4 linked regions of the Pelodiscus sinensis genome follow. Each later gene encodes a partner of the first gene's protein in a complex. Links are inferred from orthologs where the notes say so. Each region holds a gene or a part of one and is shown on either strand. Other genes may lie near its edges.

Evidence for each region.
Region 2: RBM15 (region 1) and VIRMA share a complex: the UniProt entries of both Homo sapiens proteins name them as parts of the WMM complex. The link is inferred for Pelodiscus sinensis from reciprocal best matches to the Homo sapiens genes RBM15 and VIRMA.
Region 3: RBM15 (region 1) and METTL3 share a complex: the UniProt entries of both Homo sapiens proteins name them as parts of the WMM complex. The link is inferred for Pelodiscus sinensis from reciprocal best matches to the Homo sapiens genes RBM15 and METTL3.
Region 4: RBM15 (region 1) and CBLL1 share a complex: the UniProt entries of both Homo sapiens proteins name them as parts of the WMM complex. The link is inferred for Pelodiscus sinensis from reciprocal best matches to the Homo sapiens genes RBM15 and CBLL1.

Annotation. Positions count from the first base shown.
Region 1 is NC_134737.1:17,765,866-17,773,587, forward strand, and holds the start of RBM15 (RNA-binding protein 15), read right to left. Parts: upstream 3,017-7,722; 5' UTR 2,779-3,016; coding exon 1-2,778. UniProt on the Homo sapiens protein: RNA-binding protein that acts as a key regulator of N6-methyladenosine (m6A) methylation of RNAs, thereby regulating different processes, such as hematopoietic cell homeostasis, alternative splicing of mRNAs and X chromosome inactivation mediated by Xist RNA.
Region 2 is NC_134712.1:40,435,186-40,442,802, reverse strand, and holds the start of VIRMA (protein virilizer homolog), read right to left. Parts: upstream 3,011-7,617; 5' UTR 2,836-3,010; coding exon 2,656-2,835; intron 1-2,655. UniProt on the Homo sapiens protein: Associated component of the WMM complex, a complex that mediates N6-methyladenosine (m6A) methylation of RNAs, a modification that plays a role in the efficiency of mRNA splicing and RNA processing.
Region 3 is NC_134740.1:757,134-764,229, reverse strand, and holds the start of METTL3 (N(6)-adenosine-methyltransferase catalytic subunit METTL3), read right to left. Parts: upstream 3,022-7,096; 5' UTR 2,936-3,021; coding exon 2,842-2,935; intron 1,680-2,841; coding exon 1,489-1,679; intron 1,299-1,488; coding exon 900-1,298; intron 648-899; coding exon 472-647; intron 19-471; coding exon 1-18. UniProt on the Homo sapiens protein: The METTL3-METTL14 heterodimer forms a N6-methyltransferase complex that methylates adenosine residues at the N(6) position of some RNAs and regulates various processes such as the circadian clock, differentiation of embryonic and hematopoietic stem cells, cortical neurogenesis, response to DNA damage, differentiation of T-cells and primary miRNA processing.
Region 4 is NC_134711.1:27,033,788-27,040,879, reverse strand, and holds the start of CBLL1 (E3 ubiquitin-protein ligase Hakai), read right to left. Parts: upstream 3,007-7,092; 5' UTR 2,881-3,006; coding exon of another isoform or gene 2,868-2,880; intron 1-2,867. UniProt on the Homo sapiens protein: E3 ubiquitin-protein ligase that mediates ubiquitination of several tyrosine-phosphorylated Src substrates, including CDH1, CTTN and DOK1. Targets CDH1 for endocytosis and degradation.

The sequences.
Region 1 (7,722 bases):
CAGGGCCTTGGCTGTGGAGTCCAGAAACTGCTGGGAGAAGTCGCAGGGTGGAAAGGCGTGCAGGACCCCGCTGTTCTCCTTGTCTTTGTTGCCCCCCACAGGGAGGCTGATCACTCCGGCAGCCTGCTTTTGCTTTAGATAGGACACGAGGTTCCTGAGTGGCCTCTGTGTGGAGGTGGTGGCAGCCTCAGTGGCTCCAGATGAGGAGCGGTTGTCCGAGGTGCCAGGCACAGCCAAGAGAATGGCATAACCATTGGGCCCTGCCACTTTGATACGGCGCGTGACCTCATCCAGCTTGGGCTGGTCCAGGCGGAGACGTTGGGTGATCTTGAGCTGAGCCACTTTGCCACCAGTTGCTCCCTCTACCAGGAGGCTGCTGGCTACACTGAGATCCCCCTGAAGAAGGTGCATGTTGGACGGGAAGTTACTATTCTTCAGGAGGAGCATGCCCTGCCAAGCCAGGCATAGTTTGGGGGCCCCAGCAGCCTGCGATGTTCCATCTTGCTGCTGCTGCTTCTGGGGCGGAGGTTTGAGCCGGGATCCTCCACCACTGCCACCTTCCGTGGTACGCTCATCCTTTTTGGCTGGGCTTTTACATTCCTGGGCAACAGCTGCTGTGGAGGTGCGGTGTTTCCGCTCTCTTTCAGCAGAGTTTTTGCGGTCACGCTTTTCACTCAGACCTCTTTCAAGACTGCCCCTGCGTGGCTCCCGGATAGGTGATGGCCGATCCAACAGGAGCAAACGGGAGGATGAGCGTTCTGTGTCACTAGTGTAGCGTTCCCTGCTCCCACCAAGATCAGGACTGCGGTCTGGGGGGGAGGCTGTGGCCAAACAATGTCGCTTACGGGACGCAGATGAACGCTCACTATCTGGAGAGCGGTCTAAGTGCCGGCCACCATCCTCTGCCAATCTTCGCTTCCTGGGTTGGTCTCTACTGCTGCTGCTGCCGCCACCCAGTTCCCTTTCCCCTCGGTCCCGCTCCAAGGACCAGCCATCCCGCCGGCGCTCCAGACTTTCCAGTGGGTCGTAGGCAGCGGCTCGATTGCTCCTGTCCCGTACAGGAGGTGGCGGTGGCACCCATTCCGCCTCAGGATAGAGATCTCTGTCGCGGTCTCTATAGAGCAGTGGTGGTGTCCTGTCACGGGCCCCCCGAAGTGGGTCTGGGGGAGCCCCACGGTGAGCCCCAAAAGCAGCTGCCTCTGCAACTAGCTCATAGTGGGCAGGTGGTGGTAGGGTCAGTGGCTGCAGGTAGGGTTGCTGGTAGCGATGCTCCGTGTCAGCAAAGTCCACACGTAGGCGGCGGTCTGGCCCACCCAAGGGGAAGCCACGCATGTGGGCACAAGCAGCCTGTGCTGCGTCCAGGCTCTCATATTGGATGTATGCCCATGAATCACCTTTACGATAATCAATAGTGCGAATGGTGCCAAAACGGTCAAACTCCCGTGCCAGGGCAGCCAGTGGCACCCAGGGCCCAAGGCCACCCACCCAAAGCCTGGTGGTAGGGGTGGCTTTGCCATAACCAATTTTGATAGGGTTACGTAGCAGCACCTTTCCAGACATGGCTAGCTTGGCACGGTGCGCCATGTCCAGGTTCTCAAATTTGAGGAAGCCATAGGTACTGGTCTGGCCACGACCTGGACGTTTGATATCCACTTCTGTGATGACCCCGAAGCGGTCGAAGGCCCGGCGCAGGTCCGACTCGCTCACCGTGATGTCCAGGTTGCCCAGGAACAAAGTACGGTTGGCTCTCTGATCATCCTCAGGACTGATCTCCTCCTCCCCGGCAACTCCAGCACCTCCTCCTCCTCCACGGAAACCCCCAGCTGCAGCCACTCCAGCCACTCGCTCCAACCCATAGGCCGGCCGCACGCGGGTATCATAAAAAGCCCCATAGTCCCGTTCCCTCTCCAACTCCCTGGGCAGGGGGGGCGGTGGGGGCAGGCGGCCCAGCGCGAGTTGCTGCAGCCGGTAGTCTCGATAGCCCAGGCCCCCTCCTCCACCCGCCGGCGACAGCGCCCTCTGGGTTGCTCCAGCCGCAGGGTGCCTGACAGCTGCGGCCGCGGCCGCCGCCACGCCCACGGCCGCGGCCCCGTAGGGCGAATGAGAATCCTTGTCCAGCAGGGCCGGGGAGCGGCTGCTGCGCCGCCGGCTGCTGCCCCCGACGTAGACCGCTTCGATCTTGAGCGGCCGGTCGTAGAGCACCAGGCGGCCGCGGGCGTGCTTGGCGGCGCGGGCGTCCTCCGGCCGGCGGAAATTGACGAAGGCCACGCGCTCGTCGCTGGCGCCGGTGCCCGGCGGGAGGCGGCTGATCTTGACGCTCACGTCGCCGAAGCGCTTGAACTCGTGGAAGAGCCCGTCCTCCACCGCCTCGTCGCTCAGCGCCGAGCCCAGCTCGCTGATCTTCAGCGTCTTGTACTCGCCGCTCCCGCCGCCCGACTCGGAGGCGGGGGCGGGCGGCGCGCGGGACTCGCCCCGGCTGCCGCTGCTGCGCGACGACTCCGCGTTCTTGCTGCTGCTGTAGCCGTGGCGGCCGGAGCTGGGCGCCGCCCCCGCCTCGTACTCGCGGCTGCCGGCCCGGCTGGCCTTGTCCAGGTGCAGGCCCCGCCGGCTGCTGCCCTCGCCCGAGCCGCCCGCCGCCTTGCCCCCGTTGCTGCCGCCGGAGCCGCCGGGCTTCTTGCTGCTCCGCTCGCCCCGCGCCGAGGAGGAGGAGGCGGCCGAGTCCTCGCCGCCGCCCCGCGACCGCTTGGCCTTGGCCGGGGAGCGCTCCTTGCCCTTCATGGCGGCGGGGCCCCGCGGGACGGCTTGCCTGACTAACCGCCGCGCTCACACACCCGCCGCCATCTTGGAACCCGCCGCGGAAATGAGCCCCGCCCCCCGCTCGCCCATTGGACAGTTAAATCGCCCCCCGCGCCCTTCATTGGAGAGGGAGGCTGTCGGTAGGCCGTGGCTTCGGCCGTCGACAGCGGAAGGCCCGCCCGCCAAGCAGCAGAGTGAGGTTGTGATTGGCAGGGAGGGCTGTCTCCCGTACAGATTCCCTCGCGCTCACGGCTCAGGAACGGACGAACCACCTCGACTGCTCTGATTGGTCGGCTACGGAACCGCTGCTTTCTGATTGGACAGTCAACCTGTCAATCCTAACGGTTCTCGCGGTCTCGCTGCCCCCGCGCTGTAATTTCCTTGGTCAGGTGGCACAGTCTCCTTTCTGTGACTGGGGGAGCTGACTATCATTTCTAACGGTTCTACTTGCGGCACCAGCGTCCCGCCCCATCTTTTGCTATTGGCCGGAGCGCGCTTAACCCCTCGCGTTTGATTAGATGCGGGTTCCGTCAATCAACGATTCCTCGCGTGCCACAGTCATCCCGCCCCCGTCGCTCTCATTGGTCACCCAAAGGCTTTCCCTAGCGATCTGATTGGATGAAGGCCACGTCTCTCCCATCCAAGCGCGGGCAGCAGCCAGCCCCACCCCCAGATCCTCATTGGCCGATTGAAATCTTCCGCAACATCTGATTGGATTGAAAGGGCTGGTCCGTGGATAGGCTGCTGGAGGAGTCAGTCACGCTAAGGCCGGCAGGCGGGCCGCAAAGGGTTCGCGCACGTGGTTTTGCTGAGCCCGGTAGGGTCCCTAGATCGGGCCCGCCGGCCGGTTTGGGGGAGCTCCGGATCGGGCCCGCCGGCCGGTTTGGGGGAGCTCCGGATCGGGCCCGCCGGCCGGTTTGGGGGAGCTCCGGATCGGGCCCGCCGGCCGGTTTGGGGGAGCTCAGGATCGGGCCCGCTGGCCGGTTTGGGGGAGCTCCGGATCGGGCCCGCCGGCCGGTTTGGGGGGCTCCGGATCGGCCCGCTGGCCGGTTTGGGGGAGCTCCGGATCGGGCCCGCCGGCCGGTTTGGGGGAGCTCCGGATCGGGCCCGCCGGCCGGTTTGGGGGAGCTCCGGATCGGGCCCGCTGGCCGGTTTGGGGGAGCTCCGGATCGGGCCCGCCGGCCGGTTTGGGGGGCTCCGGATCGGCCCGCTGGCCGGTTTGGGGGAGCTCCGGATCGGGCCCGCTGGCCGGTTTGGGGGAGCTCCGGATCGGGCCCGCCGGCCGGTTTGGGGGGCTCCGGATCGGCCCGCTGGCCGGTTTGGGGGAGCTCCGGATCGGGCCCGCCGGCCGGTTTGGGGGAGCTCCGGATCGGGCCCGCCGGCCGGTTTGGGGGGCTCCGGATCGGGCCCGCCGGCCGGTTTGGGGGAGCTCCGGATCGGGCCCGGGCGGACCCTGTGATCTCTGATCCCTGCGGGCTCAGTCTGATGGCCGGGGGATGCGACCCTCTGGGCACTGAATGGGTTTGGGTTTGTAACCCGGCAATAACCCGGACTAGGTCTGGTATTAGGGGTGGGAAGCAAACAGGGTTGATTCGAAATGGAAGGTCCCTTTGAACTGGTGTTTGTGTTTTGCAAACCCCACAGGGATCTGGTCAATAGCTGCCTTTGGTTTTAATTGAGAAACTTCAAAGTGAGAGATTTGTGGTGTGAGGGGTTGGATCACGTTGCAGTGGGGGAGGTCTGGACTGGACTCTAGGAAACACTGTTTCCCTAGGCGGGTGGGGAAGCGCTGGGCTGGGTTCCCTAAGGAGGGGGTAGAATCTCCATCCCTAGAGGTTAAGTCCCATCTTGACAAAGCCCTGGCTAGGATGATTGAGTTGGGGTTGGCCCTGCTGTGGGCAGGGGGCTGGACCTGATGCCTGCTGAGGTCTCTGCCCACCCCAGGGATTCTATGATTTTAGTATCACAGAGAGTTCCTTGGGGTTGTCACCCCATGTCCTGATCAAGCCACTGAGCCTGCCTTCCTGCTCTCTGAGGCTCTCCCCCATACTGTGCTCCTAGGCCAAAAGCACTGGTCTCCCCCGGCCAAGGCACAGAGTTGAGGTAACCACTCCCCAGCAGACATGAAGCAGCTCAGTCCTGGGGGAGCTCAGCTATATAGGGCAGTTGGCAACACCCTATATATAACATCTTATAAATTCACCCTTTACCAATGGAAGTGGTTGCCCTCCCCCACATAATAATGATTTACACTGGGTTTGATAATAAACAAAAGCATTTTATGTTATTAAGTATAAGAGGTAGGATTTAAGTGACTGCAAGTGAAAATAAATCAGTTACTGAGCCAAAATAATCAAAACATGCCTTCTAATCCTAATACACTAGGAAACTTGTTACATGCAAATTCTTACCCGAACATTTGTTCCAATCTCTTTCACAAGATTGGCAGCCTTCTAGCTTGGGCCCGATCCTTCTCTTCAGTCTTAGATGTTTCCAGCAGCCATCTTAGATGGCGAAACAGCGGTCTCCTGGTGCCTAGAGACTCTCTCTCTTGTTTGTTCCCCCTTCCAGCCTCTTTACCCATGGCAGGAATTCTTTGTGCTCAGTTCAAATTTATCTCACCTTGAAAAAAGAGGAAAAAGTGGCAGATCCAAAATGGGTCCCTGCATCAGAGGGCCTAGTCACATGTCTTCGTAAGTCCAATCACAGTTTGGGCTTCCAGGGAAAACAAAACCATTCACAGGACTTGCGCACCGAGCCATTAAGCTCCTAAAGTATCACTAATGGCTTTTCCTGAAATGCCTGAGCTAATAAAACAGGTTCCTTCTTATTCTAACTTGTCATGCAAGAATGATACATGCACACACAGAGGAGATACAGATTCAAGGGATCATGGGCCCTTGAATGATAGGTCACATGATGACCCATTTTGCATGATTTTCATAAAGCATGGGGGCGGGGATGACAAGTGGGACCCACTGTTTCCCACCAGTGGTTTCAGTCCCTGCCCTGAGGAGTGACTGACAAGCCAGATAGGGTGGGAGAAATGCAGAGCAGCTCCAAGCAGATCAATGGGAGTCAAGCCACGAAGGCCCTTTCTTACCCAGGAGAAGCCCAGAGGGATAGCTAAGTACGGTGCCCTGCTCTGATTGTCAGTGCTAATGCACCAGTGTGAATGCACTCTGCCGACAGGAACATTGTGTGACCATGCACAGACGATGGAATTATGCTGTTTTTGACTGTCAGTGTAACTTTCATTGACAAAATTGTGTCGTATAGACAAGGCCTTAGTGAAAGTGAAATGTTTCTGCTTTAACCTGCAGAGTATTTGCTTTTTATGGGTTTAAATTACACCCTACTCTTGATTCAGGCTAGTTTTTGCAGGGTCTCTTCTTTTATCATAGTACTGGAAGAGAAAAAGGAAAGGAACCAAAGGGAAACCAAGTGTGGTTTACTGATCCTTCGAAGTCAAGATCTGACCAAACACTACTCAACTCTAGAGCTCAATGAAGCCTTTTCATCAAGCAGAAAGAAAGAAAATGTTTAGTTCTGTTGAAAAATAAAAAAAACTGTGCAAACATTAAAAAAGCTTTGAGGTTCTTTTGCATTTTCTTCCTGGAAGATATATACATTTTTTCAACAAGTTCTCAACTCAGTTTACCCACTTAAGAAATAGGTCTGATAGCACTTACCTATCTCACTGTGATATTACAAGCCTTAATGAATGGTGATAAAGCACCTTAATAATACTTAAAGACAGTGTTTTTCATCTCCCTGCCCTTGCTGAGGGGGTGGACCTACTATTGTGTCTCCTGTTTTACAGAAATGAAAAGTGAGGTACTAAGCGGAGAAATAATTTGCTAGAGATCACAGAGCAAGTCTATGGCAAACTCAGGGTTAGAACTCAAATCTTCTGACTCCCTGTTTTGGCCTCTAGACCCTCTAGCCAAATGAAATGCTCATAATAGTTAAAGGAAATAGACTGGTCATTTTAAAATATCCTGGTCCCACCCAGTGCTGGGAATCTGCATGCTACAGCAAAGTGTTAATCAGGAGAAGCAGAAAGTGAAACTGACCAGAGACCGAGAGTGAAACTGAGCAGTTTTGTTTCACAGATCAACCTGATGTTGTACAAACAGGCAAACAAAGTGTGTTACAACAAGGGAAAGGCAACGTTTTCATAATCCCCAGGAGAAAGAAAGAGAATTAATTTGCTAAAGCAGAATTTCTATCCAATTAGTCCTAAAAAGTCTGAAATATCCCGTTCTGCTTTCCAGAGCAGCAAGTCTGATGTCACTTACTGTGTTTTTAGCTGAAACATCCATCAATCCATGTGTCACGTATCCATGGAGATAAAATGGCTCCCTTGCTGAGCTCAGTACAAACCAGAGGTGGAACTGGAAGGAGACTTTTTTTCCTAACAGTCCACTGGATGGCGTCTCTCCCCATCTTTATCGAGCTCTTTTCAAAGGAGCTGGTATCCCACAACCGGCATTCCTCAACCAGGGGCTGGATTTCAAATGGCTGGGAGTTAATAACCCCAATGTCTTAGTCTTCTTAGCGTATGTACAACATGCGTTAGGTGGCAAGTGACCAGAGTTCTGCACCACATTTGGTCTGATGGTTGGATCATTAGCTTCCCCAGTGTGGGCTGGGTATCAACAGGAAGAGTAAGGTGAGCACTGGCTGATCCATGCCCCCTAATGTGTTAGTGGGGGCCCAGGAGTGATCAGAAGTGTATACTGGAAGTGTAAATCTGACAAAGTGTCTGTCTATGGAAATTAAGATCTCAAAATTATCTTTAGATGTGTATCAGAGACAGGCCTACATATAATTAATTGCACAGTCATAGGGCAGATAGGCTTATACAGATATAAGTATTCCAGGGTATAGGCGAGACAGGCTCACAACAGATTAATATATACA
Region 2 (7,617 bases), on another chromosome or scaffold:
CAGGGCGGGCAGGGATGGTGTCCCAAACTTCTGTCTGCCAGAAGCTGTGAATGAAAGATAGGAACTGGATCACTTGAAGATTATCTGTTCTGTTCATTCCCTCTTAAGCACTGGCACTGGCCATTGCTGGAAGACAATACTAAGCTAGATGGACCTCTAGCGTAACCCAGTATGACCATTCTTGTGTTCCTAAGGAAGACTACCTCTTTGGGATTAGTTCTAAAGTCTGACATTAAAGTCTCCCCTGGTGAAGATTAAGGATTTTGCTATGTTATAATCACCATTTACATATGCCACAAATGTATTCAGTGTTCTAAAAAATGTGTGTTTCCATGTTCTAAAATGTTTAGAAGCTAAGGAACAAGAACAAGAGTTTTTGTTGTGTGTTTCTACAGTGCTGTTTCTGGGCACCCCATCCCCCTGTAATGGGTTAACTGATTAAATATTATGTTTAACCAGTTAACTAATAAAACAGGATTTTACATCCCTAGCCCTCATGTTCACTGCCGCTAGGCACTTGCCATAATGCTAACAGTAATGATAAACAACAACTATGAACTAAGCACACATTATCAAAAGCATGTGCACCAGAGACAGATCATTTGTGTGCCCCAAATTTGACTATTTGGCTGTATGTACAAATGGCAGGAGGTTGTATGCATAGGAATTGCTGCACTGGATCAGACCTGATCTCCACCTAGTTCAGTATTTCAACAGTGGCCAGTCTGAGATGTTTAGAGGAAAATGTAAGAACCTGCTGCAGGTAGATGTGGGGTAATCTATACCGGCATTCCTTGTAAAATGTGCCCTCAGGAGGGCTACTCAGGAGAGATTTGCCATCCCCCCAAGCGGATTGGTAGAGCACTCACAATCAGCAAGTTGTGTTTCTATTGGTGGTGCACATCCATACATGCCTCTGTGCATAACAAAATGTATTCCACTTATGCATGAAAAAATATTAGCGGGAACAGTGATCTACCACCTGATTTCTGACAGAGGCAGTGGGGGAAGAGGGAACAACTAGTTGAGTTCCTACTCAACTACCCACTAAGCATTTGCTTATCGGGTAGTCGACTAGTTGCTTACATCCCTAGTTGAGCAAATGTTTTCAGAGAACTGTACACTATGATTCTAGAACATAAGACTGGACACAGTGGATCAGATCAAAGGTCCATCAAGCCTAGTATCCTGTCCTTCAGCAATGGCCAATGCCAGGTGGTTCAGAAGGTATTAATAGGTAAATCATCAAGTGTCACCCATTCTCAACTTCTTGCAAACAGCATCTCAGGAACCTGTCCTGCCCTTTGTCACACAGTTTTGTAAGATTCATTTGTAACTCTTCACTAGCTGCTTTGGAATCATCCATCCTGAATAATTTTGTATTGTCTGCAAAATGCACCACATCACTGTTTACTCCTTTTTCCAGATCATTTACAAATACATTGAACAGCACTGGTCCCAATGCAGAATGATCCTTGGAAAATGCTGCTATTTACCTCTTTCCCCTGCAAAAAGACTAGGCACTTTCATTTTAACTCCAAGGAGACAGCAATATAAATGTCTAGTTTCTTTGAAGATAGTTAAATTCTCAATGACTTCCTGCAAATCCATTTTTGACAATTTCACTCTTGACATCATGATCACTTAAGATACATCTTTCTCCCACACAGTACCACCATGTGAGGTGACAATCACTGACAAAATTCTCTGCTGCAATACAAGTATTCTTTCAACACTGGGCTTCTATGGTAACAACATGGAGAATCTCTCTGTAAGGTCACCCTCTGAGACTGGGAACTTAGTACAATGAACCTTACACCTACTGTGCAATGGAACACACAGGACATAGGAGCTAAAGTGAATATTCCCGATCTCCCCATTAACTGCTGCAAGGCAGAGATGCACCACAGGCTCCAGAAAAGCACTCTTGTTCCTGACTTGTCCTCTCATCTTTCCTCAAACAACCTTAAAAATCTCGTTTTTAATTCCGCTCCCATTTTCCCCCTTCTCCTACACTTGACCTGCCAACTTTCTTCCGTATCAATTCCTATTCGTCATGCATCTGACGAAGTGGGTCTTTGCCCACGAAAGCTTATGCTCCTACACTTCAGTTAGTCTACAAGGTGCCACAGGACTCCTCGCCGCAATTCCTATTCTCTTACTCTGCGGGCTCCTCATTAACACCCGCCTGTTAATCGCCGCATTTCTACGTTGCCATCATCCCATGCACAAGAAGCCATAGAAGCGTTCGTCAAGCGTCTGGCCACGCCAGGGCTTCCCAGCGCGATACGGGGGAGTCTCCCTTGCATGCTGATGTCATGGTGGTCCAATCCTGAGACAGGGTCCGCTCGCCCCCTCACGCGCTGTCGTCGCTCTCCCCGTGTCACCGCGCTTCCTCCTACGGACTCTCCACGTCCTGGCCCTTTGCCGGCTCTGGAGCAGGCAGCATCAACCTGCCTGTCCTTGCACCTCCACAGCCCCCGCCCAGGCTCGCCCCCGTCTGCTCCCCCCGCCGCTGCCAGAGCCCAGCCCGCTCCACCCCAGCCTGGCTCCCCGCGCTCGCGGTCCCGCAGCGGGCCAGCCCAGGGGCAAGACTCTCCGCCTCCCGCTCTCGTTCTCTGGGGACAGGGGTGGCTCGGCGGGCCCCACCGGTACCTCCGCGCTCTGGTGCTTGAAAGTGTCTAAAAACAACAGCTCCGTTGCCGTGTCCGCCGCCATCTCTGCTCCGCAGCTGCGGAAGCATTTCCGGGTGAGCGCAAGCGCTTCCAGGGTCATTCGCGGCGCCTGCGCCCTCCACTCTCTCTCCCCAGGCTCAGCGGCGGGGCGCGAGCGCATGCGCACACGACTGCTGGGCGGAGGAGCGGAAGGAACGCTGGCGCTGGAGCCGCGGCTGACCCTGGGGGCGCTCGGTGCAGTGTCTCACACGAGCAGGGGGGGCCAAGGCTGGTGCGGGCCGGAGCCCCGGAAAAGTGTCAGCCGGGAAGCGCAGTCCCGAGCCGGGGCCAGTGGCGCCCTGTAAAGGGCGGGCTGCTGCAGGATCGCCGCACAGCTCGTTTCTGCACCTGTGCGGGCACAGCGCGGGGGTAGGGCCGGTGGTTCCCCCTCAGAAGAGCTACTGAGCCAGAAAGTGAGAGTTACGGAGCATGCTCAATAGCTCTGCGGAAGCCACTGCCCTTCCCCTGCCCACACGATGTAGAAGTTTCTGCTGACTACATTTTAGAGGGGGCTAAAGAGAGGACATGAAGTTTCATACCATTTCACAGATTTGTCTGATCTGCTGTCAGGGTTCACTGAACTTGTACTCCCATCCTTGTAACCCACTTGAATTATAGAGCTTCAGGGGGTTGCTGAGTTAGTCTGTTACAGGAAAAAAATGGCCTGGTAGCACTTTATAGACTAACAAAACACGTAGTGGGCTATGCCCACAAAAGCTCATGATACCATCAACATATTTTGTTAGTTTATAAAGTGCTACCAGACCCCTTGAATTATAGTTTTGCTCCTTTCCAAATATTATTTCTATTACTTATTACCCTGTGCAATGCCCATCACTGTACTATTTGTTTTTATTTTAATAGCTAATGTTCAAGTAGTATATTTAAGTAAACAGTAGTTACTGCTTTTAGCAATTCTTTGTGATTCTTATAGCACTTGCTACCTTTCATTTTTATTATTGAACTAGGTTCTTGATGAATGAGTCATTCAGACTAATGAAAGACCTCCCCCCCCCCCCCCCAAGTCTCTGCTTGAACCAAAGTCAATCAGAAGACAGGGGAGGGGGGAGACACACCTAACTCCTCTGAAAGCTCCCCTAGGCTCATTCACACCACTCCATGGCTGTGTCTAGACTGGCCAGTTTTTCCGGAAAATCAGCAGCTTTTCCGGAAAAACTTGCCAGCTGTCTACACTGGCCGCTTGAATTTCCGCAAAAGCACTGACTTCCTACTGTAAGAAATCAGTGCTTTTTGCAGAAATACTATGCTGCTCCCGTTCGGGCAAAAGTCCCTTTTGCACAAAAGTTTAGCGCAAAAGGGCCAGTGTACACAGCTGAGATTTGTTTTGCGCAAAAAAGCCCTGATCGCGAAAATGGTAATCAGGGCTTTTTTGCTCAAAAGCACATCTAGATTGGCCACGGACGCTTTATCGCAAAAAGTGCTTTTGTGGAAAAGCGTCCGTGCCAATCTAGACGCTCTTTTCCGCAAATGCTTTTAACTGAAAACGTTTCCGTTAAAAGCATTTGCGGAAAATCATGCCAGTCTAGACATAGCCCATTAGTATACAGCAGGGATCTGCAACCTACAGAATGTGTGCTGTAAGTGGCATGCGAGCTCATTTTTAGCGGTATGTGGAGACCACAGCAGGAGCGCAACCCTCTCTCATTGGAGTCCACGCAGTTGTGAGTCTTGGAGCACCAGCTCTGGCTTCCAGGTGCATGGGAGGGGGGGAGGTGAAGAAAGCCCTGACTTGCGTCCACCCCTTGTATCTCTGAGAGGCACCCCAGCTCCCCACCTGCCTCCAGCAGACATCAGAGACCCTACATCAGAGACCCTACACGGAGCTGGAACACACACACGCACTCGTGGGATTGAGGCCCCATCCCTGCATGCAAGTTGCTGCTGTTCCGCCTGCCCCAGTCTCACCGGCATGCAGAGAAGCTGGGGGAAGGGGAAGCAATGGGGTGGGGGAACCTGCTCCTCAGTACCCCCAGGTACCCCTGAGAGCTACCCTGGCTCCCTGCCCACTTGCATTGGGCAGCATAGGGACCCCAAACAGAGCCAAGACCTGCCTTCCCCACCCATGGAGGCCAGGGACAGGGATGAGGAGATAATGGGCAAATTGGAGACTGGGGTGTGATGGAGTCAGGCTCAGAGGGTTGGGGGGTTTTGGAGTAGTTTTTTGCTTCTCACTTGTGTGGTCCCCAACTGATAGTTCCTCACCCCTGACAAAGAAAACATTGAAATCTTGTGTTGGACATAAATTAATATTTTACTTTAATTTAAAATGAAGTTTGATAAACTAACATGAGAAAGTTAAAACGCTTATTCTGTTTAATAATTTAAATTAAACCATTCTCCCTAGCTGCAGCACTAGCAAAATGGCTTATGCATAATTATGTAATTAACGGTGGTTCACTGAAAGGTTTGCATTGAGCAAGGTGGTCCAGACCAAAAAGTTTGAGAACCACTGCACTAGCGGGGGAATGCTGCCCGGGCTGCAGCTCCAGGGCTGGGTGGTGGTGGCTGAGGGGAGAGGAAAACGCGTGGGGGGGTGCCCCTACCCCAAAGCCGTGTTGGCCCCTGGGATCCTGAGTCCCTAGAAGGAAAGCAAGGGTGTCATGAACTGGGACCCCCATGGGACCCCACCCCCAGCAGGGCTGGAAACCCTGGGGTAACCACCCTGCCCTGCCTCACCCATTTCCCTGAACCCCTCCCCCCGGGGTGGCCTGGGGGGAGGGGTTCAGGGAAATGGGCGAGGCAGCCCATGTTGGTGATCCAGCATCACACCTCACATAAGATTGGAGCCAGCACCGGCTTCCTGCAAGGGTGGGGGAAGCCCCGAGGCATCGCACCCATCTGGCTTCCAGGGAAGTGTGTGCATGCTGTTCCTCCCCTTCCCACAGGAAAAGCTGGAGCAGAGCCCAGGGCAGGAGATCAAGTGGGGCACATGGCGGAGAGAGCCCCTCCTGAGAGAGCTGCACAGGCCAAGGCAGGAAGGTTAAATCTTGGCACACTTCTTCGGAAAGGTTGCTGACCCTTGGTACAGAATGGAGAACAGAAAGTCCAACAAGAACTGCACTGAACTCTGGGACACAGAAAGCAGGGAAGCACTGCCTGATGGGAAATCCCTGCTCCAGATGCTAATAATCCCCACCCCCCCCCCCCCCCACACACACACACACACACACACACAGAGGCTACGTCTACACTGGCCCCTTTTCCGGAAGGGGCATGTAAATTTCAGCAGTCGTCGTAGGGAAATCCGCGGGGGATTTAAATATCCCCCGCGGCATTTAAATAAAAATGTCCGCCGCTTTTTTCCGGCTTTTAAAAAAGCCGGAAAAGAGCGTCTAGACTGGCCCCGATCCTCCGGAAAAAGTGCCCTTTTCCGGAGGGTCTTATTCTTACTTTGAAGTAAGAATAAGAGCCTCCGGAAAAGGGCACTTTTTCCGGAGGATCGGGGCCAGTCTAGACGCTCTTTTCCGGCTTTTTTAAAAGCCGGAAAAAAGCGGCGGACATTTTTATTTAAATGCCGCGGGGGATATTTAAATCCCCCGCGGATTTCCCTACGACGACTGCTGAAATTTACATGCCCCTTCCGGAAAAGGGGCCAGTGTAGACGAGCCCAGAGAGATTATCAGGCCAATTCTAGGAAAAAGTCCTCTATTGGTATCCAAAATACTGAAGCTGACTAATTGTATTATGAGGTCCCTCTACGGCAGAAAAGGAGAACCTGCTCACAGGCTACACCCCAGTTGCTCCCACTGGCAAGTACTCGCAGCTAGTGGGAGTGGTTGCCTACAAATGCAGAGCCATGTAGTGATAGAAATGTAGCCGTGTTAGTCTGGTGTAGCTGAAACAAAATCTGGTGTAGCTGAAACAAAAAACAGGACTATGTAGCACTTTAAAGACTAACAATATGGTTTATTAGGTGATGAGCTTTCGTGGGCCAGACCCACCGAGGAAGTGGGTCTGGGCCACGAAAGCTCATCACCTAATAAACCATTTTGTTAGTCTTTAAAGTGCTACATAGTCCTGTTTTTTGTTAGAGCCATGTAGAATAGGGATGTTTCAACTGTTAACTAATAAACATCAGCTTATTGGCTTCCATTACAGTTACATGTTTTTTCCTGGCTGCCAGCCCTGCTTCTGGGAAGATGGCTGTCACCCTGTGCTATGAGATCTGTAGTGTAAAGCTTATACTGCAGAGCCTACTGCACATCCAGCATCAAGAGCAGGGCCAATAGCTAGGAGTTGGTGTGCACTGGCTTGCAGCCCCCGACCCTATCCCCAGGTAGCTGGACACACTGCGGACTCTGCAGCATAAAGCTATAATCAGTAGCATTTTTAACAATTACATGCTTACATTTTAGCCGTTTTTTTACATCCCTAATATATAGCCATTTGCACACCTCCAGGAGATGCCCCAGGTAATCAGCCCCCTGTCCCATCTGCCCAGACCCCATAGACCCACACACTCCCAGACTCTGAATCTGTACCACCACAAGCCCGCTCCAGCACCCTAACATACTGCCTCAACCCCACACCCCAGCAGCCACCTACAGCACACTGAACCCCTTATTTTTGACCACACCTCAGAGCCTATGGTACCACAAAATCTACTAGCAACCCTGGGCCCCAGAAGAGTTAATCTGGACATGGGGGGAAGCCCTTAGCTAGGGGTGGGAAACCTCAGGCCTAGGGGCCGCCTGGGGCCCCCAGCTTTCCTGGATCTGACCCCCAAGGCTCAGGGCTCCCCCCCAGCATTGGGGAGCCCTTGCTGGCACTTCAGCCCACTAACACTCTACCACAGGGCTGGATCATAGGAAATATACTAGCCTGCCCTCCCTAGGCTCTGGTGTGCCAGGGGAATTTGGGGTGTGTAGTCTCCTCAGTCAGG
Region 3 (7,096 bases), on another chromosome or scaffold:
TGCTTGTTAATAATGCGCCTGGGCAGACGCGGGGAAGGGAAAGATACACGGACGTGGAACCCAGGTGTCCGGGTTATCGACCCTGCCCTTCGCCCAGCTGGACCTCTCCCCTCCCAGAGCCCAGGGCCCAAGCCCACCAGCCCCACTCCCTCCTAGAGATGGGAGAGAACCGGCTCTAACCCACCAACCCCCCCCTTCCCAGAGCTGCAGAGAATCCAGGCGCCCCGGCTCTAACCCACCAACCCCCCCCTTCCCAGAGCTGCAGAGAATCCAGGCGCCCCGGCTCTAACCCACCAACCCCCCCTTCCCAGAGCTGCAGAGAATCCAGGCGCTCCGGCTCTAACCCACCAACGCCCCCCCCCCTCCCCTTCCCAGAGCTGCAGAGAACCCGGGCGCTCCGGCTCTAACCCACCAACGCCCCCCCCCCCCCTTCCCAGAGCTGCAGAGAACCCAGGTGTTCTGGGCTCCAACCTGAAGTGCAGCTTGCGGCAGGGCCGCTCGGCGTCCGTGGCTTTCACGCACTCCTCCTTGGTGCCATAGTCACAGAACTCCTGCACCTGGGCGCGGCCACGCGACCGGAACTTCTCCACGATCGACTGCTCCTTGGCCGTTGTGGTGTTCAGCAGCTCCAGGATCTCCTGGCTCACCTGGGGGGTGGGAGAGCAAGGAGAAGAACCCAGGAGTCTGGGGTTCCCTTCCCCCCCATCCCACTCTGCTCCCAGGTGTTGGGAGAGAACCCAGGAGACTGGGCTCCCAGCTCTAGATCCCACTCACTGTAGAGCCAGAGCAAGAAAGTCCCCTGGCTCTGTGCCCCCTGCCCTCCCACCTGAGCAGGGAGAGGACCCAGCATTGGATCCCCATCCAATGGCCAGGGTGGGACCCAGGTGTCCGGCTGGTACCTTCTTACTCTGCTGCTCCTTGGTGGACTGTTGGCTCAACAGGCTCTCAATCTCCAGGTCCAGGTCGGATGCCTGCTTCCGAGACTTCTTGGCCGGCTCCTTGGCCGGCTCCAAGGCGGCTGAGGCAGAGGGAGCAGTGCCGGCGGGGGAAGAAACAGCACCCCCAGTCTCCTGCTCTGCCCATCGCTTCTGGCCCCCAGTGCTGCCCTGCTCTGCAGGGCCCTTGCGCTCTGCCACGGCGCCCATCATGGCTGAGAGCTTGGAGTGGTCAGCGTAAGTGACCAGCGTGGGCTGCTCCTCATCGTCCTGCAACAGCCCCCGGCGCACCTCGATCAACTCCTGCGCCGCAAACTTCTGTAGAAGGCCCTCCACGCTGCGCTGGGTGACGGGCGCCTCTGGCTGCAGGACACACAGGGTGGTGGGGCAGGGCAAGTGTGGAGTCACCCCCCAAGTTACCCCCAGAGAGGGAGAGAGGGGTTAGCACGTCAGTGGATCTCCTGAGCTGGGGAAGGAGGGAACAGCCCAGGAGATGGGGAAGAGGGCTCTGCAGCATCAGTGGGGGTGCAGGGGAATGGGGCTGGGCTCTCACCGTAGAGATGGCCAGGCAGATGGAGAGGGCATCAGTGGGCAGAGCCAGTCCCAGGTCGGAGAGGTGCTGCAGCAGCTTCTTCTCCAGCTCGGGGTCCGTGGCCAGCTCCCTGGCGGCATTGCTGGGCGTGGGGGCTGCGGGCACCGGACTGTCGCTGCGGAAGGGTGACACCAGCTCTGGGTTCCTGAGATCTGAGGAGAGAAACAGGATGAGGCCAGGCAGCCTGCTGGGCCGTTGCTCCCACCCCCCCCCCCCCCCGCCAGGCAGCCTGCTGGGCCGCTGCTCCCACCCCCCCCCCCACCAGGCAGCCTGCTGGGCCGCTGCTCCCACCCCCCGCACCAGGCAGCCTGCTGGGCCGCTGCTCCCACCCCCCCCCCCGCCAGGCAGCCTGCTGGGCCGCTGCTCCCACCCCCCCCCCCAGGCAGCCTGCTGGGCCGCTGCTCCCACCCCCCCCCCCCCCCCCACCAGGCAGCCTGCTGGGCCGCTGCTCCCACCCCCCGCACCAGGCAGCCTGCTGGGCCGCTGCTCCCACCCCCCCCCCCCCCACCAGGCAGCCTGCTGGGCCGCTGCTCCCACCCCCCGCACCAGGCAGCCTGCTGGGCCGCTGCTCCCACCCCCCCCCGCCAGGCAGCCTGCTGGGCCGCTGCTCCCACCCCCCGCACCAGGCAGCCTGCTGGGCCGCTGCTCCCACCCCCCCCCGCCAGGCAGCCTGCTGGGCCGCTGCTCCCACCCCCCCCCCCCACCAGGCAGCCTGCTGGGCCGCTGCTCCCACCCCACCAGGCAGCCTGCTGGGCCGCTGCTCCCACCCCCCGCACCAGGCAGCCTGCTGGGCCGCTGCTCCCACCCCCCCCGCACCAGGCAGCCTGCTGGGCCGCTGCTCCCACCCCCCCCCCGCCAGGCAGCCTGCTGGGCCGCTGCTCCCACCCCCCCCCCCGCCAGGCAGCCTGCTGGGCCGCTGCTCCCACCCCCCCCCCCCGCCAGGCAGCCTGCTGGGCCGCTGCTCCCACCCCCCGCGCCACCTGGTGCCCTTTGCCCCTCCCCCGCGTCCTGCCCCTGGCCCCCACTCACACCGCTTGCCCTTTGACCCTGTGTCCCCACTGCCCCCGTGCCCTTTGACCCCAACTCCTCAAAGACACCCCACCCCCCACTGCACGGTGCCCTTTGACCTCTGAACCCTTACGGGTTCCTAATGGCCTTGTGCCCTTTGACCCCCACCCCGTGTGCCCTTTGAACTCCACTGACCCCACTTGCCTTCGCGCCCTTTGACCCTGCTCCTGCCCCCTGACCTCACTGCATCACTCGCGCCCTCTGACCCCGCGACCCCTCCCTGCCCTTTGACCCCCCGCAACCCACCCAGCGGATCCTGCTTCCGCCGCCGCTGGAGCCGCTCCCGCAGCGAGTCCAGCTGCTTCTTGTGGGCCTGGATCGAGCTCCACGTGTCCGACATGGTGCGGCCCCGCCGCCCTGCCCGATGCTGCGCCGCCGGGCCGCGAACCCGAGCCGCCGGAAGTGCCTCCGGGGGGACGGGGATAAGACGTGCGCACTTCCGGTTTCTGCCCGCACCGCGAAGGCGCCGCCGCCATAACGTCTGTTGGCAAGCGGGCGCCATCTTGGTTTCGGGTGTTGTGCGCAAGGCAGCCATCTTGGTTAAGGGTATCTTAAGCCACCATCTTGGTTATCTTTTTTTTTTTTTTTTAAATAAGGCGGCCATTTCATTTACTGGCAAACGACGGCCATCTTGCTTTTAAAGCCCTCCCACGGCGGCCATGTCTGGCTCTGGCAAAGTGCGGCCGGCACCGTGGCTAGGGACGAAAGGCGCCGTCTTGGCAGCCATCTTTGTTCCTGGCACTGGCTCGTCATAGGCGTCCCCTGTAGGTGGACTCCGGCCAGCCATGCTGGGGGTTAGGCGCCGGGGCTGCAGCCCGTCAGTGGTGTCTCACATGAAGGCAGGGAACAGAGGGTGTTGCCACCGCCCTACTGCGAAGCCATGGTGGCCATGTTGGTTCCTGGCACGGTCCTGACTGCCATCCCTGCAGGCGCATGAAGGCGGCCATCTTGGTCACTGGCAAGAGGGTGTGAAGCCAGGCCCATCCTGGCACGAAGCAGCCTGGTCCCGATCCTGGGGGCTGATAGACACCATGTGCTCTTCCTCCAGCGCTGTGCGCCCCCAAACAGTGCCCCCTCCCCCACATGCAGCCACCTGTGGGGGCAGCTGGAGAGGGCTGGGTGACAGCACACTCATCCCCCCTGCCCCTCTGCAGTTCACCCCCTCACAGGGGTCCCGACTTCCCCCGCTGCGGGCCACTGCTGCCAATGGGAAACGGGGAAGCGCTGCATTGCCGGCTTCCCATCCCAACTCTGCCAGACCTGCTGGCCTCGAATCCTCCCCTAGCTGCAAAGAACTCCCCAGCAGCCCTGACTTTAGCCTGGGGCTGGCAGGGGGCCACTCTCCCTGGCCACAGGGCAGATGCATGTGGGGGTCTAGTCGGGGGGAAGAGAGGCAAATCACAAGAAGGGCAGCAGGGTTGGACGGAGAGGGAAGGCTGGAGGGGCCCTGCACCAGAGGCAGCTGGGGAGCATTATGGGAAGCTGGCAAGGGAGGGGCAAAGACCCAAGCCAGGAGAGGGGGTATCTGTAATTTGCTGGGGAGCCTGTGCAGCATCCTCGCCCCCAGGAAACATGTACCCCTTGCTGCATGTGAATGTGTGTGTGTCTCTCTCCTGCCCCCTGCCCGGTGTGTGACCGTGCTAGGGGCGTGTATATGTGTGTGTCTCTCCTGCTCCCTGCCCGGTGTGTGACCGTGCTAGGGGCGTGTATATGTGTGTGTCTCTCCTGCCCCCTGCCCGGTGTGTGACCGTGCTAGGGGCGTGTATATGTGTGTGTCTCTCCTGCTCCCTGCCCGGTGTGTGACCGTGCTAGGGGCATGTATATGTGTGTCTCTCTCCTGCCCCCTGCCCGGTGTGTGACCGTGCTAGGGGCGTGTATATGTGTGTGTCTCTCCTGCTCCCTGCCCGGTGTGTGACCGTGCTAGGGGCGTGTATATGTGTGTGTCTCTCCTGCCCCCTGCCCGGTGTGTGACCGTGCTAGGGGCGTGTATATGTGTGTGTCTCTCCTGCTCCCTGCCCGGTGTGTGACCGTGCTAGGGGCGTGTATATGTGTGTGTCTCTCCTGCTCCCTGCCGGTGTGTGACCGTGCTAGGGGCGTGTATATGTGTGTGTCTCTCCTGCCCCCTGCCCGGTGTGTGACCGTGCTAGGGGCGTGTATATGTATGTCTCTCCTGCTCCCTGCCCGGTGTGTGACCATGCTAGGGGCGTGTATATGGGTGTCTCTCCTGCTCCCTGCCTGGTGTGTGACCGTGCTAGGGGCGTGTATATGTGTGTGTCTCTCCTGCTCCCTGCCCGGTGTGTGACCGTGCTAGGGGCGTGTATATGTGTGTGTCTCTCCTGCCCACTGCCCGGTGTGTGACCGTGCTGGGGCCTGTATATGTGTGTGTCTCTCCTGCTCCCTGCCCGGTGTGTGACCGTGCTAGGGGCGTGTATATGTGTGTGTCTCTCCTGCTCCCTGCCGGTGTGTGACCGTGCTAGGGGCGTGTATATGTGTGTGTCTCTCCTGCCCCCTGCCCGGTGTGTGACCGTGCTAGGGGCGTGTATATGTGTGTCTCTCCTGCTCCCTGCCTGGTGTGTGACCGTGCTAGGGGCGTGTATATGGGTGTCTCTCCTGTTCCCTGCCTGGTGTGTGACCGTGCTAGGGGCGTGTATATGTGTGTGTCTCTCCTGCTCCCTGCCCGGTGTGTGACCGTGCTAGGGGCGTGTATATGTGTGTGTCTCTCCTGCCCACTGCCCGGTGTGTGACCGTGCTAGGGGCGTGTATATGTGTGTGTCTCTCCTGCTCCCTGCCCGGTGTGTGACCGTGCTAGGGGCGTGTATATGTGTGTGTCTCTCCTGCTCCCTGCCCGGTGTGTGACCGTGCTAGGGGCGTGTATATGTGTGTGTCTCTCCTGCCCACTGCCCGGTGTGTGACCGTGCTGGGGCCTGTATATGTGTGTGTCTCTCCTGCTCCCTGCCCGGTGTGTGACCGTGCTAGGGGCGTGTATATGTGTGTGTCTCTCCTGCTCCCTGCCGGTGTGTGACCGTGCTAGGGGCGTGTATATGTGTGTGTCTCTCCTGCCCCCTGCCCGGTGTGTGACCGTGCTAGGGGCGTGTATATGTGTGTCTCTCCTGCTCCCTGCCCGGTGTGTGACCGTGCTAGGGGCGTGTATATGGGTGTCTCTCCTGCTCCCTGCCTGGTGTGTGACCGTGCTAGGGGCGTGTATATGTGTGTGTCTCTCCTGCTCCCTGCCCGGTGTGTGACCGTGCTAGGGGCGTGTATATGTGTGTGTCTCTCCTGCCCACTGCCCGGTGTGTGACCGTGCTAGGGGCGTGTATATGTGTGTGTCTCTCCTGCCCCCTGCCTGGTGTGTGACCGTGCTAGGGGCGTGTATATGTGTGTGTCTCTCCTGCCCCCTGCCCGGTGTGTGACCGTGCTAGGGGCGTGTATATGTGTGTGTCTCTCCTGCCCACTGCCCGGTGTGTGACCGTGCTAGGGGCGTGTATATGTGTGTGTCTCTCCTGCCCCCTGCCCGGTGTGTGACCGTGCTAGGGGCGTGTATATGTGTGTGTCTCTCCTGCCCCCTGCCCGGTGTGTGACCGTGCTAGGGGCGTGTATATGTGTGTGTCTCTCCTGCTCCCTGCCCGGTGTGTGACCGTGCTAGGGGCGTATATATGTGTGTGTCTCTCCTGCTCCCTGCCCGGTGTGTGACCGTGCTAGGGGCGTGTATATGTGTGTGTCTCTCCTGCTCCCTGCCCGGTGTGTGACCGTGCTAGGGGCGTGTATATGTGTGTGTCTCTCCTGCCCCCTGCCGGTGTGTGACCGTGCTAGGGGCGTGTATATGTGTGTGTCTCTCCTGCCCCCTGCCCGGTGTGTGACCGTGCTAGGGGCGTGTATATGTGTGTCTCTCCTGCTCCCTGCCCGGTGTGTGACCGTGCTAGGGGCGTGTATATGTGTGTGTCTCTCCTGCCCCCTGCCCGGTGTGTGACCGTGCTAGGGGCGTGTATATGTGTGTGTCTCTCCTGCCCACTGCCCGGTGTGTGACCGTGCTAGGGGCGTGTATATGTGTGTGTCTCTCCTGCCCCCTGCCTGGTGTGTGACCGTGCTAGGGGCGTGTATATGTGTGTGTCTCTCCTGCCCCCTGCCTGGTGTGTGACCGTGCTAGGGGCGTGTATATGTGTGTGTCTCTCCTGCCCCCTGCCCGGTGTGTGACCGTGCTAGGGGCGTGTATATGTGTGTGTCTCTCCTGCCCACTGCCCGGTGTGTGACCGTGCTAGGGGCGTGTATATGTGTGTGTCTCTCCTGCCCCCTGCCCGGTGTGTGACCGTGCTAGGGGCGTGTATATGTGTGTGTCTCTCCTGCTCCCTGCCTGGTGTGTGACCGTGCTAGGGGCGTGTATATGTGTGTGTCTCTCCTGCTCCCTGCCTGGTGTGTGACCGTGCTAGGGGCGTGTATATGTGTGTGTCTCTCCTGCTCCCTGCCCGGTGTGTGACCGTGCTAGGGGCGTGTATATGTGTGTGTC
Region 4 (7,092 bases), on another chromosome or scaffold:
TAAAAATATTATGTATTAGCAGGGATCGACAAATAGTGTAATCTACTCGCTCGCCTGTGGCACCCCAGAAGAGCTGGCACGGAACAATCTGCGCATACATAAAGTGCAGAACTGTGCAGCTGGCGAGCAGAGCTCGCCGCCGCTCGGCGAGCCCTGTCTATTAGGGATATTAAATATCAGTTAATGGAATAGTCAAGTAACCTCATGAATTCTTATCAGTCAACTATTCTATAGTCCCTCATGGCGGGGCCAGCAGCCAATGTACTCTGACCTCACTCCCACGAAGACCCTTTTCATGTGGGAGCTGGTCCATGAGAGGAGCCAGTTTAAAAACCAGCTCCCTTGGGGACTGGCTGCCTGTTACCCTGTGCTGCTGCGTCTGATAAAAAAAAAGCAGCAGTGCAGGTGGCAGCAGCCCCTGTTTAGGGGATGGCCTGAGGTCCCAGACCCGCACAAGCCGGAACTGGGCTGGGCTACCTGCCTGCCTCCTAATACACTTTAAATGCAGATCCGCAGCAGGGGTAGGTCCTGAACCTGTCACAAGCCAGGCTGTTGGCCAGCCTGCTAAAAAATTTACTGGCAAGTGTGTGGAGGAGGAGGAAAAATGCATGTAGTTTATAGCATTAACCTATAAGCTTTTGCTTATCAGTTAATCAACTACACTTTTACATCCTTATTATGTATCTATAGTACTGTAGCACCTATAATTGCTAATGATGGATCTGAATCCTTCTATGCTAGCTGCTGTACATACAGAAAAAGACAGTCCATGTCCCAAATAATTTACAGTCTAAGACTCAAGTATAAGACAAGAGAAAACAGAGAAACACAGAGAGGTAATGAGACAATAATGATAGCATGATGGGTAGTGGCCTCAACTTATTAGCATGCTAAGCACTGTGAAGTTTCTTGTAGGCCCTGCAGCAAAGAATTTTGAAGAAGAGTAACAAGTTAGCTCTGCTGAAGTTTACAGGGATCAACTATGATTATAATTTAAAATATTGTGTTTTTCAAGGAATGTACCTGTCAGGTTTGTAGACATATAAAAACAACAAGTAGTCCTGGGGCACCTTAAAGACTAACAAAAATATATATAATATCATGAGCTTTTATAGGCAAAATCCACTTCTTCCAGCCAGGCTGCAGCAGCTCCCCATGGTGCGGAGGTCCTGGCCTTGCCAGAGCGGCCCTCCACCCGCAGGATCCCATTTAAGTGGATTTTGCCCATGAATGCTCATGATACTATATATATTTGTTAGTCTCTAAGATGTCACTGGACTACTTGGTTTTTTTTTAAGTTACAGACTAACACAACTATCACTCTGAAACGTATAAAAACAGTATTGTAAATTATTCCCGCCTGTCTTGAACCTTTAACTCCAGGTCTCTTGAAGCTAGGACAGGAATAAACATGCTAGACAGCAAAGATCACCACAAAAAACAAGTTTTGCTATGAAACACTTTGAAACAAAAGTTTAATTAGTTTTACGTTTAAAATATGGACAGGGCTTGTAGCTGAAATGTAAAAATGTTTAAGGGAAGAGGTTCAGAATATTCTAAACAAGGTAAAGATTAAAACTAAGCCTTTTCAATGGGACTTTGCAATCCAATCCCCTTGTTAGTAGCTACAGTGGTCCATCACTGGGCAGGTCTACAGAGGCTGGAAGAGTTACAGTGGCTGAACTGTTCAGCCCTAGGGAAACGTGTCCTATGCTATTCTAGATTGACCCCTGCTGGCCAATTTCAGATACGACTGATAGTCATATTAAAAGATTACTGAGATCACCAAAAATACTAGTATAGTAGTGCCTAAAGACCTCAACAGATCTCCCTGTAATAGACACTGTACAAAACCCATAGCAAGTGACAGTACTCCCTTCTTTTTGGATTCACAATCTGAAAAAAAAAGCCAATTCAACCTTGTCACTATTACAATAGAGACAAAAAGTAAAAAGCACACAACAGTAAACAGTTCCTACTTCTATGGGAGGAGGATGCACTGGCTGAACAGTTTACACACTGCAACTATATTTTAACTATGATATCAGGTTTGGACAGAGAGGCAAATGGAAATGGTGCATCATAGAGGCAAGATTACCAATTGTAGATGTTCCCCATATTGGAAAATCATTACTCATTTTTTATAATAAAATATTTTCTTTTCATATGCACTCGTGGGCAGCCAATTTCAAAGAGCAATGCTATTTTACAGCAGAAGTCAAAAGCGGGAGTCTGCCTGTTCTGACCAGCTACAGAAAAAGTGCAGCACGTTATACAAACGGTATATTCCTAGACCTTAGCAGATACAGCGAGGTGCTCCCCATCCGCAGCCACTTGCGCCTCTGCTAACTACACGCCGAGAACCAGAGTTCGTTCAAGGCGTCCTGATCCTTTAGCCCGACCCCAGGAACCTCAGCCATTGCTACGGCAGGGAGGTGTAGCCGGGGTCTGCTGCAGCACCCCCGCCCCGCTCCATAGCTGCGCGGGCGGCGAAGGGGACCGCGCCTCCCCGGGCCAACAGTCCCAGCGGCCTTCCCCGCCCGCTCGGGGCCGCGCCGAACGAGGCCGGTGGGGATCGGTGCCCGCTCCCCGGCAGGGCCCGGCGGAGGCTGGGGCTCGCGGTCAGAGTGGAGGCTCGGGGGCGCAGGGACGGCGGAGCCCGGCCGAGTCCCCTCCACCCGTACTATGGGCCGGCGGCGCTGGGGTCCAGGCCGCACTAGGCCCCAGGCATCGGGCCGCTCCTCCGGCCCGCTCCCCGTGGGGCCTCCCCGTGTCCGACTGCCCAGGCCACACCACGCACTGTCCGGGCCAGGCCCGGCCGGGCGGGGACGGGTATAAATACGGCTCCCTCCCTCTCCCCTCCTCACCATTGTGGTCCATGATTCGGCGCGGGGCAGCGTGGGAGCGGAAATCACCACGCCGGAAGGGCGGCACCGGAAGCGCCTGGACAGCGGAAGCGGAAGCCGTCGCCGCCAAGGGGCGGATGGTCAAGTAGGGGAGAACTGAACTAAGCCGAGACCCCGCGCTTAACGGGAGGGCTGCGGGCCTCGTTTCGGTGGGCAAAACGAATAAGCCCCACGTGAGCTACATCTCCCAGTATGCACCGCGGTCCCGGGCAGGGACTGTGGTTCCTAGCCCATCGCATGGGGGGGGGACTTTTTTTTTACTCTGGCATGCTGGGAGCTGTAGTCCCGTGACTTGCTCTCCGCCACGGGCCGCGCTTAGGGACTGCTGGCAGCCCGCAGAGAGTCTGAGAAGGTTCGCGCCCTGCGCGTCTCTGCGAGCGCCCCCCGGGGGGAGAGGAAGGGCTTGACCGACAGGCCCAGGCTGCAGCCCCCATCCCGGGAGGGAAGAATTGAGGCTAAATTGCAGGTGATGCCTGAGGGTATTTACGACATTTCTTTCCATGGCTCTGCTGCTCAGCTCTGGTGAGACAAGTCTCGGAGTTGTAGCCTTGCTAGTCTGTAAGCCTGCGTCTACTCCTTGCAGCTAATTTGGGCCATCGGAGGTATCCCAGAATAGCTGCCCTGCGTCTTAACGGCGTGCCTGTTATTTGGAAATATATAAGGGGCTCGCTATTCTGACGTCTTTTAACCCTTCTTCCACAAAGAAGAAGGGACATTTCGGAATAGCGAGTTATTTTGGTGCTGCGTATACAGTGCCAAGTTATAAGATAAGCTATTTCAACATTTACTCAGAATAAGATATGCAATTTGTGTAGCTCAAATTGTGTAGCTTATTTCACGCTGTGGGTGCAGTGTAGATGCACCCTAACTGGGGGCAGAGGCTGCGATGCCACTCAGCTGGGCGCTTTGCTTTGGCGAGGTGTGAGCCCTTAGGGTTCCACCAGTGGCTCTCTTAAGTTTCGTCTGTAACCACTTGATCAAGACACCAACTTTGGGGTCTGACTGACTGCAGACTCTCCTTCTATTGCATGGCTCTGGCAGCTTGTTCATTATGAAAAAAAGCAAAAGTTAAAAGACTAGCAGAGAGAGCGCTCCTCCCTCCTCTCTCCCCCTGCCGCCCCATGGCTATGCTGACCATATGTTCTGGGTTTTCCAGGACAGTCCCACATTTAAATCTGAACTGGTGGCCACGTAAACACTAAAAATGTGCTGGAAACAGCAGCGCAGCTAGAAGCAGCTGCGCACTGCTGTTTCCTCTCCCTCCTGCAGGAATGCAAGTATGCAGGGACCTTCCTAAAGATTTTTCCTTCTGCTCTAGAACCTAGCCAATATGAGCAGAAGGAGGCGGTGCCTGACTTCTGGTCCTCTGTTCTCTGGCAGACAGATAGTCCTGTTGGGAACCACCGGTAAAGCAGCAGCATGTAAGTGGCCCCACTTTCCCTCCCAGCCTGCCTTCACTGAGACCCCACTGCTGCTCTCCCCTTTAATTTTAGTAAGAGCCATGTGGGTCGTCTTAGATTTAAAAGGGCAGAACCACATAGTAACCTGGCTTCAGCTGAGCTGGTAATCAGATGATTCCTGGTTCTGCACAGAGCGCCGGCTTTGTCCTGCTTTACAAATCTAAGAGCCCTGTGGCTTTTCTTAAATCAGTGGTTCTCAAAGTGCAGCCCAGTGGTCCGCAGCTGGAGCTCAGCTAAGCTCCCTCCCCCCTCCACTGGGATAAAGGTGACTAGAGGGGCGCTGGCTGGGATTGTATATTTCAGCTCTTGCAAGCTGGTGCCAGGTTGGGCGCCTGAGGCAACGGGAGGCTGGGGCAAGTTATGGCTGTGAGCAGCGCTACAGACAGCGAGAGGCAATGCACAACTCCAGGAAGGGGGCATTGCAGGCTAGGCACCCTGCACCTGCCCATGTGGGGAGTTGTTGGCATCAGGTATCCACTGTGGCAGGAGCTGCCAGGGTTGTGTGGACTGCCTGCACGTGGGACTTGTCTCCCACGGCAACTTCTCTGGAGTCTTTTGTCCCAGCAGCAGGCAAGTAAAGTTTTAGCCTGATGCGGACTGCAGTGCCTTTGGTGCGGGGCCCCTTGTGGCCAGGCTGTGACAGACTTGACATCAGAGCAGCACCTGATGTGTGGACGGGCTCCACGTAGGCATGTGTGGGAGCCTGGCCTGGGTTCCATCGTGGTGCATTGACTCCCAATCCAAGCACCCACCTCACCCCTTATTGGGACCCACCAGCTTGGAGTGGAGTGGTTGAGATTGCAAATCACTGATAGGAATGTTACATTTAGATTAATTAAATAAGTGAATAGTCAATAGAATTTTCATCAACTATAGGAAGAGCAACAAGAATGATTAAAGGTCAGAGAACATGACCCATGAAAGAAGACTGAAAGAATTGGGCTTGTTTAGTTTGGAAAAGAGAAGATTGAGGGGGGACATGATAGCGGTTTTCAGGTATCTAAAAGGGTGTCACGAGGAGGAGGGAAAAAACTTGTTCTTCTTGGCCTCTGAAGATAGAACAAGAAGCATTGGGCTTAAACTGCAGCAAGGGAGGTTTAGGTTGGACATTAGGAAAAAGTTCCTAACTGTCAGAGTGGTTAAACACTGATATAAATTGCCTAGGGTGACTGTGGAATCTCCATCTGTGGAAATATTTAAGAGACATTTATCTAACCTACTATCAGGGATGGTCTAGAACAGTGGTTCTCAAGTTGTTTCAGTCCACGGACCACTAGGCCAATCAAAAATTTTTTGTGGACCACCTCATTTTTGAGACATGATAAAAAAGAGCAGACAAATATTTTGGTTTGAAACTTATTTCTTACTAACAGATTTTTGGATTCTCTTCTCACTGACAAGCTTTTCAATGTTTGGAGTGGTACTTGATAATGCACAATGAATATCGCTTTCCACTGCAAGCCGATTCCTCTGTTTGGACTTAACATGCAACAAACACAAAAATCCAGTCTCACACATATAAGTTGATGCAAATGGCAAAAGAAATCTGACTGCATGTGCTGACCGATTTGGGTAACTCCCGGTCACGCTGGCCCCAAACTTCTCTATAGTAGACTGCTGGTACATGTCTTGAGCTGCAAAATCATTTTTCAGATCCAAGAATTCCTCCTGCAGATCCTCTGAAACACTGTTAACATCTGTTGTAAATGGATTCCTGATGAAAGATAATCCATCCCTTGTCCTATCCACCTCCAAAAAGTATCGTTGGAATTCATCTCGTAGCTTCCGTAAATGATTGAGAGTTTGCATCCAACTGGCTTCCTTTTCCCCGACCATGGCATCCACATATGGAAATTAAATCAAATTATTGCCTTCAACTCTTACGATCCAGAGTTCCAATTTGTCAAGAAAAGCCTTGACGATGCATTGGTGAGAGAACAGATTTGCACCTTTCCCTTGCAGCTGAAGATTCGGTTTGTTCAAGATTCCAAAAATATCAACAAGATACACAAGTTCTAAATTTGATGGTGTCAGCACATTTCGGAATTCCTGTTTTCCTTGAGCCTAGAGAAATAAATCCAACTCCTCTCTCAACTGAAAAACTCTGTTGAGTACGTTCCCTGCTGACAACCACTGTAGAGAAGTGTAGAAAAGCAACACATCAAAGTCGGAACCCATGTCCAGGCAAAATCTTTTGAACAGCCTGGTGTTCAGCACTGATGATTTGATGCGATTCACCACTTTCACCAACCCTTTGAAAATGGTGTTCAGTTGATCAGGCAATGTTTTTTGATGCCAAAGCTTCCCTATGAATGAAACAATGAGCTCCGGTTACCATAGGAGCGTGCTGTTCACCAGCATTTGGAAGCCCGATCTTGAGCCCAGCATGGCAGGTGCACCATCAGTGGTGACACCCACAAGATTTACCGAATCCAGACCATGTACTTCAAAAAAATTGTTAACAATTTCTATCACATCCTGAGCCTTTGTGGTGGTATCAGGAGTCTTACAGAAACTCGTCTTTGAAGTCTCCCTCAACCATGTATCATACGAACACCAATAGCTGAGAGCACAATGCGACGTCGGTCGATTCATCCAATTGTATGGCAAACAATGGAGACTTCATTTCATCCACTACTTGTTCACTGATGTTCTGTGATATCTCATTTATCTGTCTCAATACTGTGTCATTAGAGACAGATATATCATTCAGCTTCCTTGCTGCT